Linked DNA regions of Astyanax mexicanus. The protein of the gene in region 1 interacts with the protein of each later gene in a biochemical or structural test. Links are inferred from orthologs where the notes say so. Each region holds a gene or a part of one and is shown on either strand. Other genes may lie near its edges. The genes, in order: hip1 and cltb.

Region 1 (9,636 bases):
GACCGGCCCCAACAAAGCCCAACAGCGCATGCGTCACATCAGACCAGCGCCACTAATCCATGCTACTGTCCTAGTTGTACGTAGGGGGAGCTGGGCATGTTTGTGTGTCTGGACCACTGTTGGCACACCAAATAAAACGAGTACAAATTCCACTTCTGTACATACTGCTAGGTCCATAAATATTCGGACAGTGACACAATATTCATGATTTGAGTTCTGCACGCCACTACACTTGATTTAAAATGAAACAATCAGAAGTCGATGAAGTTTAGACTTTTAGGTTTAATTCAAGGGTTGAATAAAAATAGTTTATGAAGTGTTTAGGAATAACAACCATGTATTTACAAATCCAAATGCTGGGTTTTCTCCTTTATGGTGTTTTTCCAGGTCATTAATGCAGATCTTCAGTTGTTTAGTTTTGTCTTAAAGGAGAAGTAAAATTCAGCTGGATCGGGTTCAGATCTGGTGATTAATTAAGCCACCGCCAAATATTTCACTTCTTTACCTTAAAAAACTTCTGAGTTTCTTTAGCAGCATGTTTTGGGTGATTGTCCATTTGCACTGTCCAATGCTCATCAGCCTTCTGCATTTGGCTGAATCTGATCAAAAAAGTAAATCCCTTTAACTTTAGAATTCATTCTTCTTCTTCTATCTTCTGTTACATCTTCAATAAACACTAGTGACCCCGTGCCACTGAAAGCCATGCATGCCCATACATTAAACTACCACCACCATGTTTAAAAGATAATGTGGTAAGCTTTGTGTCGAGTTTCTCCTAGCCTTCTCCATACTTTCTTCTTCCCAACATTATTCCGGTCCTGTCTTCCGTGGACATCCAGCTCTTTTTGAGTTCCTGAGCTCTCCAATGCACTCTTTTTTTACCCAGACTGTACCAAAATGTTGATTTGGCCACTCTTTAACATTTCGACTATCTCTCTCTGATGGATTCCTTCTTTTCTTCAGGCTGATGGTAATCTGTGTCTCTTCCATTGAGAGCTCCTAAGAGTCTACACTTTAATGACTTTTCATTTGTTTCATTTTAAATCCAGTGTAGTGGTATGCAGGGCCCAAATCATGAAGATTGGGTCACTGTCCAACTATCTATTGACCTAACTGTATAACAACATGCAGAAAGGAAGATAAGAAAAGAGCTAGGCTTTCAGCTGCAGTGTTTAAAATACTACGATGAGAACACCAGCAGAGCAGTGTAATGCAGCTTGCATGGTGTGACCTACTTTTCGCTAGCTGTCTCGGAATGGGGAGGGGGTGGAGGACCCCCAGAGTGGTGGGAAGCTCACGAGCACAATGAGAATGTTTTTATGTTTCCCTCAGTCTTCTGAACACACTGTATGGCTTGGCTGGATATCGAGATACGAGATTCAGAATTGCCAAAGCAGTTTGGTGCCAAAAAAGCAGCACTCACTCTCACTCTCACCATCACTTCCACCTTGTAGGCCACAGTCCAGTCATTCGATCCACAATCATTTTACTGGTTTTATTGATGTTGCCTTTTCTCTAACAGCTTCTAACAGTTCCTCTTTGTCCAGCTGGATAAATGTACATCAGCAGGGAAGTGTCTGAGAAACTATCCTCGACCTTCATCTAATTACTGACACGCTTTTTTAATGTTACTTTATTGTAATATATTATTATATTGATGATGCAAAAACATTGCAAAGAAAATGACAAAGTGTCAGTAATCAGTCATTTTTACTTATGCTTTAAACTGACTTTTGCCAGAATACTACATAAAAAACCTGGGTCTTTTCTTAGATTTCTTTCATTAGTAGGCCTACACCAATATATCATATACACTGTGTACATAGATATTGTTCTCAAAATGTTGTAAGGAATGGACCAGTAGAAATGCTCTAAAGACTTTCTACTGACTGTTAACATTGAACAGTTGATTTTTTTATGATTTACTCGAAATGCACTAAATATATTCCAACCAAGATTTTTTATTTAAAAAATGGCTAAATTGACACTGATTTGTACCTATATCTGCTAAGAAGTTAAAATGTTCAGTGTTTAATAAATAATTTAAAAATGGCAGTTTTGTAAAAGCTTTTCATTTTGTTCGGTTTCAGGCAAAACATAATATTTAGGTGCATCCCAGATTTTCACTTCTCCTGTAAAGTCCTGTAAGATTTTTTGTCTCAGCTGAAATGCTAAAGCAGGCATATCTAGTCCACCACCAGATGTTTATGTAATAGCATCGACAGATATGTACAAAAGAACACTGGATCATCAGAAGCATCCCAGAATTTCAATACTGTGCATCCATAAGTAATGACACCATTGAACTAGCTACTGTAATTGTATGCTTAAAAAATGTCAACAAGTACAAGCTGATTAGACCTTTGGCCATTTTTGTCGTAGGATGTCACTAAATTAGGGCTGACAGCTAGTGATAAAGTCAGGGTGTGTATGAGCCTGTGTGAGCCTTATGGAATTCAATGAGCAAAGGTTTGCCACATAGCTAAGTGTATAGCAGGAAGAATTCTGGGAGTCCTTCATCACCTGAACAATTCCAGCCTTACAGATAAAAAGAAGTGAGATAATGCTGTGTAAAGATGACTCATTATCACCACCGGCTACAGTCACATAGACAAAAGCTACTTAAAGCTACACATACACTAAAGCAGACTTTAAAGGAACAATACATACTACAATATATACACGCACATATATGCTTTGAAATGTTTTTGAGCGGGGACAACTGTAAATATAGGTTAGCTAGTGGTTAAATGATTAACTGTCTAATTTAGCATTAGCCATATATTTTTGCGCTCTGTCTTTATGATAAAAGAAATAGATAACTTATCAAATTATTTATAAATTATGGAGGACATTTAGCTAGCTAAGTGAGTTTCACTTATTTTGTTGGGGACACCTATGAAAAGATATATTACATATTGCTAGCTAGGTTAAGTGGTTAAATAACCTAGGTTAGGTATGAGTCTATTCCTGACTGATGAGAGAAACTCAATGCCTGTAAACATGCTGAACTAAACAGTGGTTTATTTTTATAAGGCAGTGATTTTAGTGTGGTGATATAAATGATATAATTTCTTTGCTAACCTAAGCTAGTTAACTACTTGCTTTATTGTGGTACTGTTAGGTAGCTAACCTAAATAAAAGAAGCTAGTATTTTCTATTTTGCCGCAAGGACAAATAACCTAATGGGGACTAAATCTGGTTAAAGCAAACAACAGGTAAATTAGCTAGGTAAATTAATAAATAGAGCTTCCCATGATCTCAGTGTTTTATCATTTACTCAGAAAATCAGTTAATGGAGTTCTGATTAATATTGTGTGGGTAAATATCAAGATTAGTACACTAGGCTATTGCCAGTGTTGTGCTGAACTCGGCACCCCCATCAGGAAAAGCACCCCCTCTCGGGAGTGTGCAGTCTTCTTTAACTTTTTTTAGAAAATGAAAATACCTAAGATGCTGTTCTGACTCCTAAGAAATAATGAAAAATAGTCATGTCACCTGCAGCGCTTTAACTTAACTTTGAAATACACTCCAAAAGGGGGTGCTTTTACTGGCGGGGGTGCTGAATTCGGCACAACACCTGTGTTCTACTGAGTTATCCATCATGCTATCCATCGCATAATGGCATTGCGCATGCACCCACCCACATTTTTTTGTACTAATTCAGTTTCACTTGAGTGCATTAAACTACCTCCTTGAATGTTACAAACTGTAAATTGCTACTTAAAATACTGGCAAAAAAAAAACTTTCTGACTGTAACATACACATAATACAGTGATTTATCCTATACAAACATCCTACCTAGACTTCTACCAGTAAAAAAAATCCTTATATAGTGTTTTTTGTATTTTTTTTTTTAGCTTTAAATACATTTTAAAAGATACTCTGGGGTAGCACGGTTTGACAAGGTAAGTTAGCTAAACTTGACCGAACTGTCGAGTTGTGTTACTCATCGATATGGGCTACTTAGCGGATCTGCGCATGCGTTACCTCTTATTTTTACTGTTTTCGTGCGTTTTTTCTGATAATTTTAGCTAATAATAATGTTTTTTTTCTGAGGTGGATTATACAATCCGAGCGCACTAACACTGTTTACTTTGATTGTTCCAGTCGTGTTAAAAAAAAAAAAAAAAAAAAAATATATATATATATATATATATATATATATATATATATATATATATATATAATAAAATATATAAAAAATAAACTATAAAAACGGTTTTAATTCACCTGACTATATTGCCTTAACTTACTTTTTTTAACTTACTTTTTTTGTATTTTCACCTATAAATATACTCTAGGAAATAACGGTTTGACAAAGTAACTTAGCAAAAATGGACAGTCTCGAGCTAACGCTAGCTACCGTGAAAACAGCGAACTTGCCGTTAGTTAAATTAGCTAACTGGCGCGTGCAGCTCGTTGCAGCTTAAAATTCCGCTAAAATACAAATCGCGTCGTTTTATAAATTTAGCCGAACATTCAAATTCACGCGTTATATTAGTTGAGCTAAAACTGCACAATAACCCGCAGTTACAAACCGGAGACCATGTTAGTTAGTTGGTGATTTAGTAATTCAGTCATTTAACCCACCTGGCTCCGCTCAAAGTTTTCCTTTTCAAGTTCTAAACTGTTGGCCCCTCCAGCGCGGCGACTCAGGACTTTGGGGATGGGGTTGGGGACCTGCTGGATGGAGCTCTTCACTCGGTCCATTTTGTGGGATAAATCCAAGAATACTGAGAAACTGCCTCCGGTGCAGAGCGAGCTAATAAACAACCACGCGCAAAACAGAGCGACTATAAAATCCCTCTCCGCAGGAGACGGTCATTTTCTGCGTCCACAGCTCAGCTCCAGGCCCCGTTGCGTGTATCTGTGTATCTGTTTGTCTGGCCGTGTTCCTGCTCTGGTCGAAGTCTGAGAGAGTCCTACATATTTTCACTGATCACTAAATCACTCCCACCGCTGCACGAACCACAACACAGTTTACGAATCAGCAGCCCACATCCACAGCCAGCAACACGCACAGGCCCCGCCCCGCGCCGCCCGTGATTTGCTTAAACAATCTGTTATCCCCGCCCCTTGAGGCCAGTGTAATGTACATTGCTTCAATCTTCTGACTATTTGGACCTACATTTAATAATTTGATTTTTTTAAATGCATTTCTTACTGAATTTAATTTATTTACAAAGTATCTTTGTCATTTTCTTCGTAACAAAAAGGCTGTATCCACTACAATATATTGAAATAATTTGTTTGTAAAAGAATGAGCTGTACTGCAACATAAATATTTAGTTTAGATTGTTTTATGGATTGTTTGTTTTTGGAAATTAAGAATTTTCTATTTTTTTCCCTATTTTTCTATTTTTATTTCTGCTCCTTCACAATTTAAATTTCATAAAATATAAAAAAAAAAGATTTCTGAAAATCAAGTTTTTTTTTGTTTTTTTTTTTACATTTTTCCTAAAATTTAGACCCTGAGGGGCAGAAAAAAAGAAAGAAAAAACAGTTTCTATGATCTAATCTGAAGATCACTGGTTCGAATACCAGGTCATGCTGCTCAACATCATCAGCCAGAGTTTGATTGAACATTTTTGATGCCATGGGTTTGTTTTACAGTCTCAGTCAAGAATGAAAAAGAAGAAAACAAACGCCATCAGCTGACAGGGACTGAGAGGGCACAATTGGCATTGCTTTCTTTGGGTTAAAACAGCTGAGAGCAGCTGAGCGGCATAGCTAAATCTGCCTAGCTAATATGTAAAAACAATACAAATGGAACAGTCTAACAAGACTTTGTGGTTACAAATGTATTTCATCATATAAACTAATTATTATTATGAAAACTGACATTTTAAAGCAAACTTTTTTTCATGTTGTGTTCATGCACAGTGAACTCTAGGTAATTGAGTAACATGAAGCATACATCAGCTGCATTCTTGAATTCACTCCCACCCTTGACTGTTTTTCTTGGCTGTATATAAAGGGTTTTCACTGAGGCTGAGAAATAAGAGATGTACCTCATTATTTTAAAGTCACTTTAGATAAAGGGGTCTGCTAAATGCATTGTAATGTTATGCAATGTAAGGCATTCTAGGCTTTGAGACACAGCTGACACTAAAATTGGAGGATGCTTCTCTCGTGAGTAGAGTTTAAAAAGGCAACATTGTCATCCCTTTACAATCATTATGAGAGAAGAATATGTTTAAAAAATGGAAAAAAAGTGGAGAGGTGTAATTAAGGTAGAAGCTGATTCAGACATTTAAACACACTCTGTCACAGACAGAGCTGTAATTAAATTTCTCAGTGTTGCAAAATGCATTGTATGACACAGTCAGAGTGAGGTTACACAGGATGGGTGAAATGGTGTTTTAAAGTGACAGTCATGTGTAAGGGATATTCATCTTCACCCCACTCTCAGCAAAAAACAAACCAATCGGTTTACAGCAATTCAGCACAAAATCTCCTGCCACAGGCACAGAGGAAAAGTGCAGACCTACACCACCTGCTGTTTGTGTTCAAGACTCCACTGATTCCACAAACGTGGGTTAAAATTAGCAGTAAATGACGAAGAATTAAGAGATGTTTTTTGTGTTGATCTTTTAAGACCTTCCAGGTGCACTAGCTTAAAATGCAGTATAATAGCAGAATGTTTTTGCTGAATAGTATATATGTAAGGAATAAAGTATGCCCTACAATGAAACAAACAAAAAAAAAAACAGTGAGTTTACACGCACTGAATATACTGATAAAGAAAATACCCTGAAATATTGTGGTATTATTTTAGGACCATTTCACCCACCCCTAGTATGTGCGTATTTACATTACATATGGTTGCTGTCCAATGAAAAGCATGTATCTTTAAATTGGCAGCTTTACAGGAGAAAGATAAAATCTTCTTAACTGTAAATAAAAATAAATATAAAAAGAAGAAATCACCTTAATTCTGTTGATTTTGGAGAATTTCTATTGGTTGATTTTTTATAAAAAATTTTGAGACAGTTTGTGTGTTCAAATTATGTAGTAAACTAAAAATCTACAAAAGAAGATACTTGTTTCTCATTGAACTATGACGATATTAATCTACATATATATATATATATATATATATATATATATATATATATATATATATATATATATATATATATAGGTTCTTATATAAGCACACTAGTTCAGTTTGTTTTATAAACAAAGTTATTAGTGTGATTGTAGTGTGCAATATAACACAGTGCTGTTCTTCTGAAGTCTTCTTATTATTATTATTATTATTCTGGATTTTTGTCTGACTAACTATTGCCACAATGTTTGAGATATTGACTCAATGGTACAAATATGCATCCTTATTGGGAATGGTGGGCTTGTATACAGCTTTTTGATTGACATATGGTCCGCTTTTTTGCCCATTTGAAAATGACAGGGAGAAATCTGAACGCCCATGTACATCACAATTTTTGGGATAAGAAGGCCAAATTTGGCAGGCCTATAGAACTTATCGTATTCTTTCTGAAAATATGCTGTACAAAATGATCCGATGTATGTTTTCTGTACAATTGCCATACGAATTTGCCCCATAGGAATGAGCGGCCCCAACGTTCCATCTCACACACCAGGGCTACAGTAGTGTTTGTGTGTATGGAGGAGCTGCTGTATGGAGCAGCTACTGGTCAAACGTTTTGACGCCCCGGCATGCCAGTCAGTGCACCAGTACTGTGTGTGTATGGCAGAGCTGCTGGATAAACCAGCTACTGCTCAAACATTTGGACATCTCACATGTCCAGAGCAACCTAGCGTCCATAGCCAGGCTCAAAAGTTTGGACAAAACACCTTAACAACACTTTGCAATTGCCTAGCAACCGCTTAGAAACAACATAACAGTCAACACAGATACCACCATAGCAATACCTTAGCAACCGCATAGCAACACCATAGCAACCAGCACTGCAATCACAATCGCAGTTTCTGCAGGAACGGCAATCTAGGTTGCATTTTTTGCACCGTTAATTATTTATTGGCCGTTAACTGCACTGTAAACTGATGCATACTTTAGTCAGAGACTTAAAATAGACAACAAATCTTGCTAAACCTAACCTATCTAAAACCTTATTAATTAAAGCACACGACAGATCACGCGAGATCTCCTGCTCGTCGTGCGAGATTCAGCCATTCACGCGCCTGCTCTGCACAGTTCTCGCGCGACTTGCTCCCCACCGTTTAACGCCGCATTACAGTGTGCGACAGAGGCAGGTAAGATGGCGGCGCAGGAGACTGAAGCAACACAGCAGCCGACCGTGAGCAACGGCGAGGTAAGAGAGACTCCGGCCGCGCTGTGGGATTAAACAGCGGGTAGTTCTGTTTCAGGAGACCCTCGGCACTGTTTCTGGGTGTGTGGGGGAGCGGGGCACCGCTGCTTCGCTGCGGGATTGGGAGAGATTGGAGCCGGTCAGCACCGCCGGCCCCGCGGCGCTCCGGCTCTCTGCACTGGGCTAAAGCCGGTGTTCTGTCGAGTTATGCTACAGTGTCAAATTGTGCTACACTAGTGTATAATTTAAAAGGTAGATTAAAAATAAAATACAAAATAAAGCAACAGATTAGAACAACCTCCTAGCAAAACTGTAGAAAGGGTATACCTATTGGCTTAAAGCCTAAATCAGGTGAAGTAACGTTATCAGGTAAAGGTGCTTGGAAACTGGGTTTTATTTTTCAGTTTTGTATAATGAACTGCTTGACATTTGCACTTTTTGTAACAAGCCAATAATGAAATTCAGTCCCTGTTGTGTAAAGCCCTAATGTAAAATAGAATTATCACAAAAACACATGAAAACATTTTGAAGAATATATATATTATGTGGGTTCAGCGCATGCGCAGTACCGGTAGGAAGCGCATATCGATGGGTAAACTACTCGTCAGAACACCGGGCTAACGAGCATAGCTAGCGCTAGCCTCGCAGTCTGCTGCGTGTGCCGTAGACTAGCTTGTTAGCTAAGCTAGCTGGTAACTACTAACCCGTCGTTTTAGCTCGTTAGCTAGTTTAGCTATATCCCACAATAGAAAGCAAGAGCTCTAGCTAATTAGGTTAGCTAGTCTAAACTGTGTGTTTAGTCTGGATGTTATTGAATTTTAACGGCTTCAGTGTGGCCAACTGTTAGCCAGCTAGCTAGTTAGCTATCTTAATTAGCTTATCATAGGCTAATGGGCTCAGTCATTCTAATGGCTAGCTCGCTAACTAGCTAACCTATTTAGCCTGCGTTAGCTAAGCCACCAACCGTTAGTTAGTTATTTAGCTGAGTATTTTATGGCTCATTGATCAGCGTTATATACAATCAATAAAAGCTATTAGACTAGATAATATTTTTCCAGCCTGTGCCAGAGGGCCAGACTAGCTGCAGCTAGACTAGCTAACAAATCAGTTAATCTGTCCTGTCACAGCCAATCATTAACATTACAGCTTGACGGATTATTTCTCGTAGTTAGTCATTTCTAAAGCTATAGTGTCTTTCCCACTCACGACTTCACACCCCCTCGACTAGCTACTTAAATACTCGTAGGCTTATTATTACACGCCATCAGCTGATTTTGTTGTCTCTTCAGATGAATTAAGCTTTAAATCCGGATACAACATCTGGTTTTGCCTTAATTA
Region 2 (10,009 bases), on another chromosome or scaffold:
ATGTATGTGAGTAGTTTTTTTTGTTTAAGAAAAATAAAAAATAAGAGACCACTTAAAATTAAAACTATCTTTGTATTAACAGTGTTTTTAATAAACTACCTGAAGGTACTGTGTGTGTAAATATTATTTTTGATAAACTACCTGAAGGTACTGTGTGTATAAACAGTGTTTTTAAGAAACTACCTGAAGGTACTGTGTGTAAATATTATTTTTGATAAACTACCTGAAGGTACTGTGTGTATAAACAGTGTTTTTAATAAATTACCTGAAGGTACTGTGTGTATAAACAGTGTTTTTAATAAATTACCTGAAGGTACTGTGTGGATAAACAGTGTTTTTAATAAACTATATGTGCACTCTCTGAGTTCTCAGTGCCTTGTTTTAAATGTCAGGGTCCTCAGATTTCTACCAATGACGTGTGGAGCTATGTTAAGCTTGTTAATGGTGTAAAATAGTGAAATCTTTGCATAGGCATCGCTATGCCCCTTTTGCTAGCATCGCTAGCATTGTAATGTGTGATGAGCTTCTGCTGATTGGTCCTTCACAAGACGATAATACGACAGGGGACATACACAAAGCCTATCACATCAGAGTTGGGCTGTTTGTAGAAAGCCTTATCAGCAATCCTAGCGTGCATGAGGGCAAAAGATAGAAAGAAGACGGGAGAAGAGTGAGAAATAAACGGGTAAGGGAGAGAGAGAATCACAACATTGTTTCAGAAGAAGAGATTAAAAAGCACACAAACATGGTAGAGGTTAGTAAGCCATAAGAAACTCTCAGCAACCTTTTAATGACACCAAAAAAGAGAAATATTACATGAGAAATGGTGAGCTGTGCATTTATAAATTACACCTGGCATTAATGATCACAAGCCATCAAACCAAGCTAAACTGCTTGAATTTCTGCACCAGGAGTAAAGCAGCATAAGGTTAACCAAAAGCAGTGTGTAAGACTGGTGGAGGAGGAGAACATGATGCCAAGATGCATGAAAAAAACTGTGATTAATATAGTTTATATAATAAAAAAAAAACATGTTCATTTTACTCAAACCTATACCTATAAATAGCAAAAACTGTTTTCATTTCACCGGATTTATTTGTATTCTTAGGCGTTATACAGTGTATTTTATAGACATATCTCTGCTACAAGTGCTGTTTACGAAAATAAAAACAAAAAGAAAGACAGTTAAAGATAAGTACTATTCCTGGATTACTGAACGCAGGTGTATTTGGGTAGAAATACCTGTTGTTCACTTTGTTCTTCTCCATCTGTTCTTGCTGGTGCAGATTCCAGTCCACTAGTTCCTTCTTCGCTTTCTCCTTCCACTCAACTTCTGCTGCTTTAGAAGCTGAATCTGCAGAACAAAAAATAAACATTTCTTTTTGTGCTCTCTCGTTTTGTCTCTCTAGCTTTCTCCGAGTTTTAGTAAATTACACATACATTGCAGTTGTATGAATAAATGATATATTATGATCTATTACTGTCTTAATACCTATGTAATTACTGTATTGTTTGGACTATAAGGCGCATTTAATATCCTTTAGATTTCCCAAAAAAATTCAATTAGGTGCCCTTTATGTATGAATTCTACCAGTTAAAAATGCAGCATTTGCATTAGCATTAGCAGAACCGCAAGCTGATACCACCCTGGCTTATCAGAACACTGGATTCCTCAGTCTAGCGCTATTGGGCGGCATTTTACGTCCTGCTAGTGCTGCGGTTGGCGGCTAATGCTAATGCAGCTGCACCCAGCCTTATTGCTGGAGACACTTCACTGAAAACTCACCCTTAGACAAAATACTGGAAACCTAAGCTTACTGTAAATAAATGGAAACATGGCGACACCCTTATTCACTTCGATGTAGGAATCCTTACTAGTGTCGCTTATCCGGTATGTCTTATAGTCTGGAAAATACTGAACACTTTATTTACTAAAATTCTACTTTAATATACCTTTAAATAATTAAATAAATAAGTATACCTAGCTCCTCCAGCCTGGTCTTCTGCTCCTCCCGCCACTTGCGCAAGCTTTCAGGCTCCTGCCTCAGCTGGTCGACCTGGGCGATGGCTGCATAGCTGTCTGTTACTCCATTCGAGTCCTAAACCATTCATAAAACAGCATTAGAAAACATATATTGACCATCTATGGTGGTCACATTGTAAACATTGTAGATTTATACAGAGTATACTGATTTATACTGAGTAACCACACACAAACTACACACTTACAGCACAACAGCCTACAACATACAAATTATCTACCTTATCCAATATTCCATTTAATTAAAAAAAAGTAAATGACACCATAAAAACACACCTCAAACATGTCTCCGTTTACTGCTGCAGCAGGTGCTTCTCCAAACGCATCTGATTTAAGAAAAGAAGAGAGACAGACTGTAAAATCCTGTGAGTTCTGGTCTTGTTGAGCAACGCTTTTCGTATTTCCTCTCAGAAGAACTACTAGTAGAAGAGGAATGCTGTAAAACCTGCCCGGCTATATGACTGTTACTGAGTCCTATATGTAAACCAGAGATGAATGATCAGCTTGCTCATTCGGTGAGGTGGCAACAGACGTTATTTTAACAGAAGTTTAAAAGCTCAGGTGTACTACAGTAAGTAGTGTTAATATACCTTATATAAAAAGTGCTGAAAACACTGAAACCTAGTGGAATACACCAGCGGATATTCTACCAGGGACGTTGACAGTCCAGATGTATTACCCTAAATGATCATTACATTAGAACCTACCAGAATCTTACAGTAATTATGTTACCAAAAGTTTAACAGTAAAGATGTAATATACTAGTTAACTAACCAGGTAGAGAAACGCTCACAGCATTGGAATCTACCAGAACCTACCACTACCACCACTAAAGATACACTTAGTATATTCCACCTTAATTGGAGTTTAATGGAAACTGTCATTTCCATTGTCTTCACTAAACCTAAAAATGTTTTCTCTACAGCTCTGGAAAAAAAATTGAGACGAGTTTCTTTGATTTTTAGCAAATTGAAAACCTCTGGAATATAATCAAAAGGAAACCAAATTGAACTGCTTGAATTTTTGCAACAAGAGTGGCATAAAGTTATTCAAAAGCAGTGTGTAAAACTGTGATTAAGACCAGGATTATTGATTTCTGATTTTCTTTAAACTTTATGATTATAAATATGAAAGGCCTGAAAGCTTTGCTTATTTTTTGTTATTTCAGCCATTTCTCATTTTCTGTAAATAAATGCTCTGAATGACAATAAGTTAATTTGTAATTTGGGAGAAATGTTGTCTGTAGTTTATAGAATAAAACAATGTCCATTTTATTCAAACATAAACCTACACATAGCAAAATAAGACAAACTGATTCAGTAACTGAGGTGCTCTCTAAATTTTTTTCAGAGATGTATATATCCCATTAGTTTATACACACTTGTGTGCAATATTTTCAAGATTAATCAAGATTAACGAATCCTTTTTATTAAAATCACAGCTCAGAACAAAATAAAGTGTTCATAAATTTACAATAAATAGAAAAATAAATAGAGAAGCAGTATTAAAAGGAGAGAACGTCACAATTTTTATAAATTACATTTGTATCCAAGGTATCAAACTAATAATTTACTGCTAACTCACTCTGCAACAGCTTCATCCACCAGGCAGTCAGACTTCTCAACGCACAGAGACAGAACTGAACCCCCACCCCACCCACCACTCACCCAACACACTCGCACAAAACTAAACTGTACACCCCCCCCCCCCCCCCCTTTACACTCACAAAGAACTGAACTTCACCCACACACACACCCAGTCAGCACACAGAGGCTGACATGACTTTATTTGCTGCACTCTTAAAAACTATAAACTCTACCTCAGTAACTGCTGTGATTATATATGTTCTATATGTTACAGTATGTCACACATCTCTGCACCTTATCCTCACTATACACTTTATTATACCGTATCGGTACTGCACTGTCCTGACTTTAAATTGTCTCGTCTTTTGTATTTATTGTATTTATTGTTATTTAGTGTTATAATTTTATAATTTTATGTTGCACTGTCGTCACTCCTACACTTTATGTTGTCTATTGCTTGTGGTTCTATGTTGCACCATGGTTCCGGAGGAACGTAATTTCATCACACTGTGTACCTGTACTCAGATGTAATGACAATAAAAGCCTCTTGACTTGACTCTTGATTTGAACAGCTGGATGCTGTTTAGCGTTAGCATTAGCTTGCTAGCTTGTTTAGAAATTGGTTAATTGTTTTGTATTTTTTAAGCGCTTTTAAGGAGCCAATGTGTGTCTTGTTGGTGTTAAAACGTTAAAATCCTGTTTTCGCTTTATTATACCTTGTTAAATTAACTGTATCGCCTTGTCCAGACTCTTTTTATCTGTGTAGACTCTAATGTTAACAAGCTAAGCTAAGCTAACAGGCTAACACGCTATCACCCAGACAGACGACGTGCCTCCGCTCGGCCCCAGGCCGTCCGCCTCGCTCTCGATGCCGGCGATCTCGCTCTGCTGCTGCGCCAGGAAGGCCGCGGCCGGGTCCTCCTCAGCCTCGGCGCCGTTGGAGAAGCTGGAGAAGCCGAAGTCGTCGGCCATCTTCACCGCGGCGAAAACACCTGCTTTATTCCTCAGACCTCGGCCGGGCTCTCTTAGGCTCCAGCTGTGGCTTTGTTCAGGTTTAAACGCAGGAAAAACAAGTTAAATAAATATGTTGAAAAAAGAGTTGGTTTATCTCCTGAATCGAGCCGGACTCTTAAACCAGGTCAGCTGGAGGTTAATTCGTCCCTTTCGTCCCAGAAAAGCAGTAAAAACAGGGACGTGGAGGAGAGCCGAGGTCAGAACTCAGAGAGGAGAGTATAACTCTAACGCTGGGGCTGATTGTATGGTGTTGTGTCTCCATCTGCTGGAACAGACTGAACACACATACAGTACTTAACTAGTGGTAAACACACTCACCACAACCTTTATTGTTATTATTAGGAGTTTATCACTATGCTTTAAAGAGGCACTAAACCCTAAACCACGGTTTTTATTTATTTATTAAAAATTAAAATGTGTTACTCTGAAGTAATTAAACATGTCATTCCTGATTAAACATTTCCTAAATGTTCTTTATTGCAGTCATTTCGACATCTACAGCACCTTCTTATATTTAACTTTGCTAAAGGCAAGTATGATAATATCGCCCCCCTGGTGACGTCCAGAGGCACACTGCTCACTGCTCAGCCCAATTACCTCTTCCTTCTGCCCCGCCCCTAAACCCATACATCACTGCAGTGCCCCTCCCAAACTACCCCTACCATTTTTTTTTAGCATTTTTGAATCAGCCAAAATCAGCGGGTTCATGCTGCCTTCAAGTCCTCCTCGTAAATTCCTACTTTCGAGGTTGGAGTTCGTAATTACGACATGCGTTCAAGTGTTTTTTTTTTTTTTTTTTTGTCAGGTGAAAATGGACGGCATTAGGAAAATACTTTTGTTTATACTTTTGTTCTGTTTGGTCTGTAGAGTGTGTGTAGGGAACAGATAAACCTCAGCATAAAGTGTATAGTGTATGGGGAACACAAAAAAAGGAAAAAAAAAATCTGGGAATTTTTTTAACCTTTTTTACATGTGCTTGCATTGTAGGTGCATTCACTTTTAAAACTACTTTTTACTTAATTAATTCTGTAATTGAGGCCAATTTAAATAAAAATACAGAAGCAATTTACAAAATGGGGGGTTTTGTTTTATTTTATTCATTCATTTTTAGAAATTCATTTTAAATACTTTTGATAAAATTATTTACCTTCTCTGTTATGTGTTTATTGTGCCAATTAATTAGTATTGTGAAAAAGGTTTATATATTAAAAGACAGGTTTTCGTGGGGTTTCCTGATTCACTACGTGACTGTATGTGTGTAATACGTGTATAAGTGTGGCTTAGAAGTTCACAGTATAAAGGTGCACGACACACCTTGTTTTTTTACCCACCCGTTTACGCAAAGCCACGCCTCTGCAAACTTTTTAGCCAATAAGAGTGCGAGGCTATCAGCCCTCACACTCTTTCAGCACACTGGGGAGGATTGAGTTCTTATTTTAAATCCTAAATGGACTAATTTAAGGAAAAAAATCAGCTTTGGTTTTACACATAAAATATTGTCAATTAAGAATGTTTAATTCTATAAAGAGCCATATTTACAAAAGAAATATGAGTGTGGTGTGACAGTTAATATATAACTGTTGTACTGCCGTGTATATATTGCACATAGTTGCACAGTGAAAAAAGTGAAGCAAATAAGTAAAATAAGTATAAGTTAAAGGTTTCATATTTAAAGGTTTAAATAAGTGAATGTTAAGATTAATAACTAATATAAACTTTTTTATACAACAAAAATGATTATTTATGGAACAAAAAATGATTCTACTTGTGGCACTGATAAAAGTCCCTATTTTAAGATATTTGTCATTATGTAAGAAAATCATCTTCAAATGACTTAGTATATATAAAAATAATAGCCTAATATCTAAACATAATTTAATATTCCAAAAAAATGAGATAGCATCTAAACTAGTGAGATAGCTTCTAAAAATAATGAATTACTTTCTCAAAATAATGCCATAGCATCTAAAAAAAAGAGAATTTATCTCAAAACAATACATTAGTATCTCGAAATAATGAGATATCTAAAGATAGTAAAATAATGAGATACTAGCTAATCAAAACATTTTTTTTGTATCTCGAAATAAGGAAATATCATCTAAAAAATAATGTATTAGTATCTTAAATTAATGATAAATATTATCTAAACAGATAGCATTGTAGTGAACGCTGAGTACAAACTTTTAACCAATCAGAGAGCTAGGCTATCAACCGTCAAGGCCAGTCAGAGGCCCGCAGGGGCGGGACATGTCGGAAAACCGGTGGGGAAAAAAATAACGGCAAGCGGAGAGCGCCGCGTCACGCGCACACGTGGTGGATGACGTATCGGTGAGTCCTGCTAAAAGTGGTGGTAGAGGGAGAGCGCGCGCTGCTGAGCGGAGTTACCCGAACCTCCACCCCGCTGAACTACAGCCTGAACCCGGCTACACTACAGCTCCAGCCCCGCTACCCTACAGCCTCCACCCGCCGCCCGCCCGGAGCCTGATCACCATGTCCGGAGACACCAAGGAGGTAATTCATCACCAGCGCTGCAGATTCTTACTGAACCAGAAAACCATAACACTCAGAGCGGAGTTTAAAACAGCTTTAACAACACTAACACTGCGGACAATCACTAACCTACAGATTTATTTATCAACAACTGCCAGAAACATAGTTTTATACTCAAAACACATCCGATCCGAGTCAACACAAAGACTTCAGTAACTGTTATCACGTCTGAGTGAAGACCAAGACTTTCTATAGCCGAGTTTGAGTCAAGAACAAAACTGGGACACAAAAAGCCTGATTCAAGACTGAGGCTTTGAGTAGTTTAATTTTAGTCACAAACAAAGCTTTTGCTAGTTTCAATTTAGTCAAAACTGAGCCTTTTAGTAGTTTAATTTTAGTCAAGAACGCGACATATCAGATGTGGGTCACAACCAAGATTTTTACTAGTTTATTCTTCAGTCAAGACCAGGATTTTTTTTGTAGTTTAATTCAAGACCGAGACTTTGAGTAGTTGAATTTGAGTCAAGACTGAGTCTTTGAGTAATTAGTCTCTGAATCTAGACCTAGACTCATGGTTGTAGAGTCTGAGCCTAGACCGACACTCATGGTATAGAGTGTGAGTCTAGACCAAGACTCAAGGTTGTATAGTCTGGGTCTAGACCAAGACTCAAGGTTGTATAGTCTGGGTCTAGACCAAGACTCAAGGTTGTATAGTCTGGGTCTAGACCAAGACTCATGGTTGTAGAGTCTGAGTCAAGACCAAGATTTTGAGTTGTCGATTCAAATTCAAGACTGAGACCAGTACACATCAGATCTGAGTCAGGACCAAGACTTTCTATAGTTTTAGAGTTTGAAACAAAACTGGGAAACTAAAAGCCCGATTCAAGACTCTTTTAGGAGTTTAATTTTAGTCAAGAACAATACTTTTAGTAATTTAAATCAAGTCAAGACTAAGGGTTTTAGGAGTTTAATTTTAGTCAAGCACAATACTTTTAGTAATTTAAATCAAGTCAAGACCAAGACTTTGAATAGTTAAGTTTGAACCAAGACTGAGGCTTTGAGTATTCAGTCTGAGTCAATACTGAGACGGGGACGCATCAGATGCGAATCTAGACCAAGATTTTTACTAGTTGATTCTAGGATTTAAAGTTGTTTAATTTGATTCAAGACCAAGACTTTTAGTAGTATTACTACAGCACTACAATTTAGCTTTAAACTTTCCTACTGTATTTCTATCTGCTTTATGCTCTTCTTTCAGGCTTCTCTACCCACAAAACTTAAAAAAAATAAAAAATAATAACAGCTTTCAAGCTATTCATTAACAGTTTCATTCATTCATACAGCTGCTCATGCAGCAGTTTACACTGTGGCTGCTGCAGTGCTGTTGAACCTCTCGGGAAGTGGTCATTACCCTTAATTACGCTTCATTGTCATTATTCTTGGCAGCCAACATGTCATTACACGACCCCCATTAGTTTTTAGGAAGGTTTGAGTTTCTCTCAGCCTGAGACAAGCTTTTTCATCTGGTCTAAATCCCAAATAGACACTAATTGGATGTATTGGGCAGTGACTTAATGCACTTAAACACATTCAGGGGGTTTGAGTTGTGTTAGATTGAGTCTAAAACTTAACTTAAATAGGCACATACTTAGTTTTTAGAAGACTGACCTTATGTACTTTTTACCCATTAGAGAGGTTTCAGTTTTGTCAGCCTGTGAAAAGGCCTTTATCCCAAAAATACACATATTTAGCATAAAAAGCATGCTAAATTGATAAAAATGCATTTTACTTTTGGTATGCACCCAACTTGACAGAATGAGTAGTCTATAAATCCCAATTTTAACACATTAAGGAGGTTTGATTGTGTAAGAATGAGGGGATAACTCTATTTTAACTATTTTAAACTCATCAGGGAGGTTTTAGTTTCTCTCGGCCTGAGAAAACCCCCATTTTAAATTTAGTCTGAATCCCAAATAGACGTAATTAGATGTGTAGGGCAGTAATGCAATTAAACACATTTAAACGCAATAAAATAGCCTCTAAATAGTTTTTAAAATAGAAAGAATAAGTTGTCCATTTGTCTAAATTCCAACACATTAAAGATGTTTGAGTGAGTTTTATCAGGCTGAGAGAAACCTTTTAATTTGGGTCTAAATTCCAAATCATTTGACACAAATGGGATGTAAATTGGTTATTAATTTGGTATTAGTGGTTGATGTGGTGCAGCACACCAATATAAGTCTAAAGACAAAATTTCTCCCAAAATTCCAAATAAAAATATTCTCATTTAGAGCATTTATTTGCAGAAAATGAGAAATGGCTAAAATAACAAAAAAGATGCAGAGCTTTCAGACCTCAAATAATGCAAAGAAAACAAGTTCATATTAATTTAGGAAGAGTTCAGAAATCAATATTTGATGGAATAACCCTGTTTTTTAGTCACAGTTTTCATGCTTTATCTTGGCATCATGTTCTCCTCCACCAGTCTTACACACTGCACCACTTACACCACTCTCCACACAGTTCAGTTTGGTGGTTTGATGGTTTGTGATCATCCATCTTCCTCTTGATTATATTCCAGAGGTTTTCAATTTGATAAAATCAAAGATTTCAAAGATCACGATAAACTAATAGTGCTCTAGTGTAACACACGTGCTACACATGTGGTTCTTCTGTTTTGTCACTAACACTAACTCTTGTAGATTCTTGATTTCATGTTTAAGTGTTGGAGTGTTGGAAGGCTTCAGTCCTGCTTATTATGTATTGCTACCAGAAAGAAGGAGAGAGTACTGAGAAGAGGTTTGACTAGGAAACTGCAACCTATACTTGCCATGCCCATGTGAACCCTGCCATTCTCCAATTTCCAGAGGACACTTTT

Evidence for each region.
Region 2: the proteins of hip1 (region 1) and cltb form a complex in vitro, tested with the Homo sapiens proteins (2 studies listed by BioGRID, with this or other methods). The link is inferred for Astyanax mexicanus from reciprocal best matches to the Homo sapiens genes HIP1 and CLTB.

Annotation. Positions count from the first base shown.
Region 1 is NC_064425.1:13,903,979-13,913,614, forward strand, and holds the start of hip1 (huntingtin-interacting protein 1), read right to left. Parts: upstream 4,989-9,636; 5' UTR 4,715-4,988; coding exon 4,595-4,714; intron 1-4,594. Other genes in the region: clptm1 (cleft lip and palate transmembrane protein 1 homolog), read left to right, coding at 8,248-8,301. UniProt on the Homo sapiens protein: Plays a role in clathrin-mediated endocytosis and trafficking. Involved in regulating AMPA receptor trafficking in the central nervous system in an NMDA-dependent manner. Regulates presynaptic nerve terminal activity.
Region 2 is NC_064426.1:2,412,532-2,422,540, forward strand, and holds the start of cltb (clathrin light chain B), read right to left. Parts: upstream 4,903-10,009; 5' UTR 4,600-4,902; coding exon 4,461-4,599; intron 2,368-4,460; coding exon 2,318-2,367; intron 2,100-2,317; coding exon 1,982-2,099; intron 1,355-1,981; coding exon 1,243-1,354; intron 627-1,242; coding exon 573-626; intron 1-572. Other genes in the region: pdlim7 (PDZ and LIM domain protein 7), read left to right, coding at 7,132-7,152. UniProt on the Homo sapiens protein: Clathrin is the major protein of the polyhedral coat of coated pits and vesicles.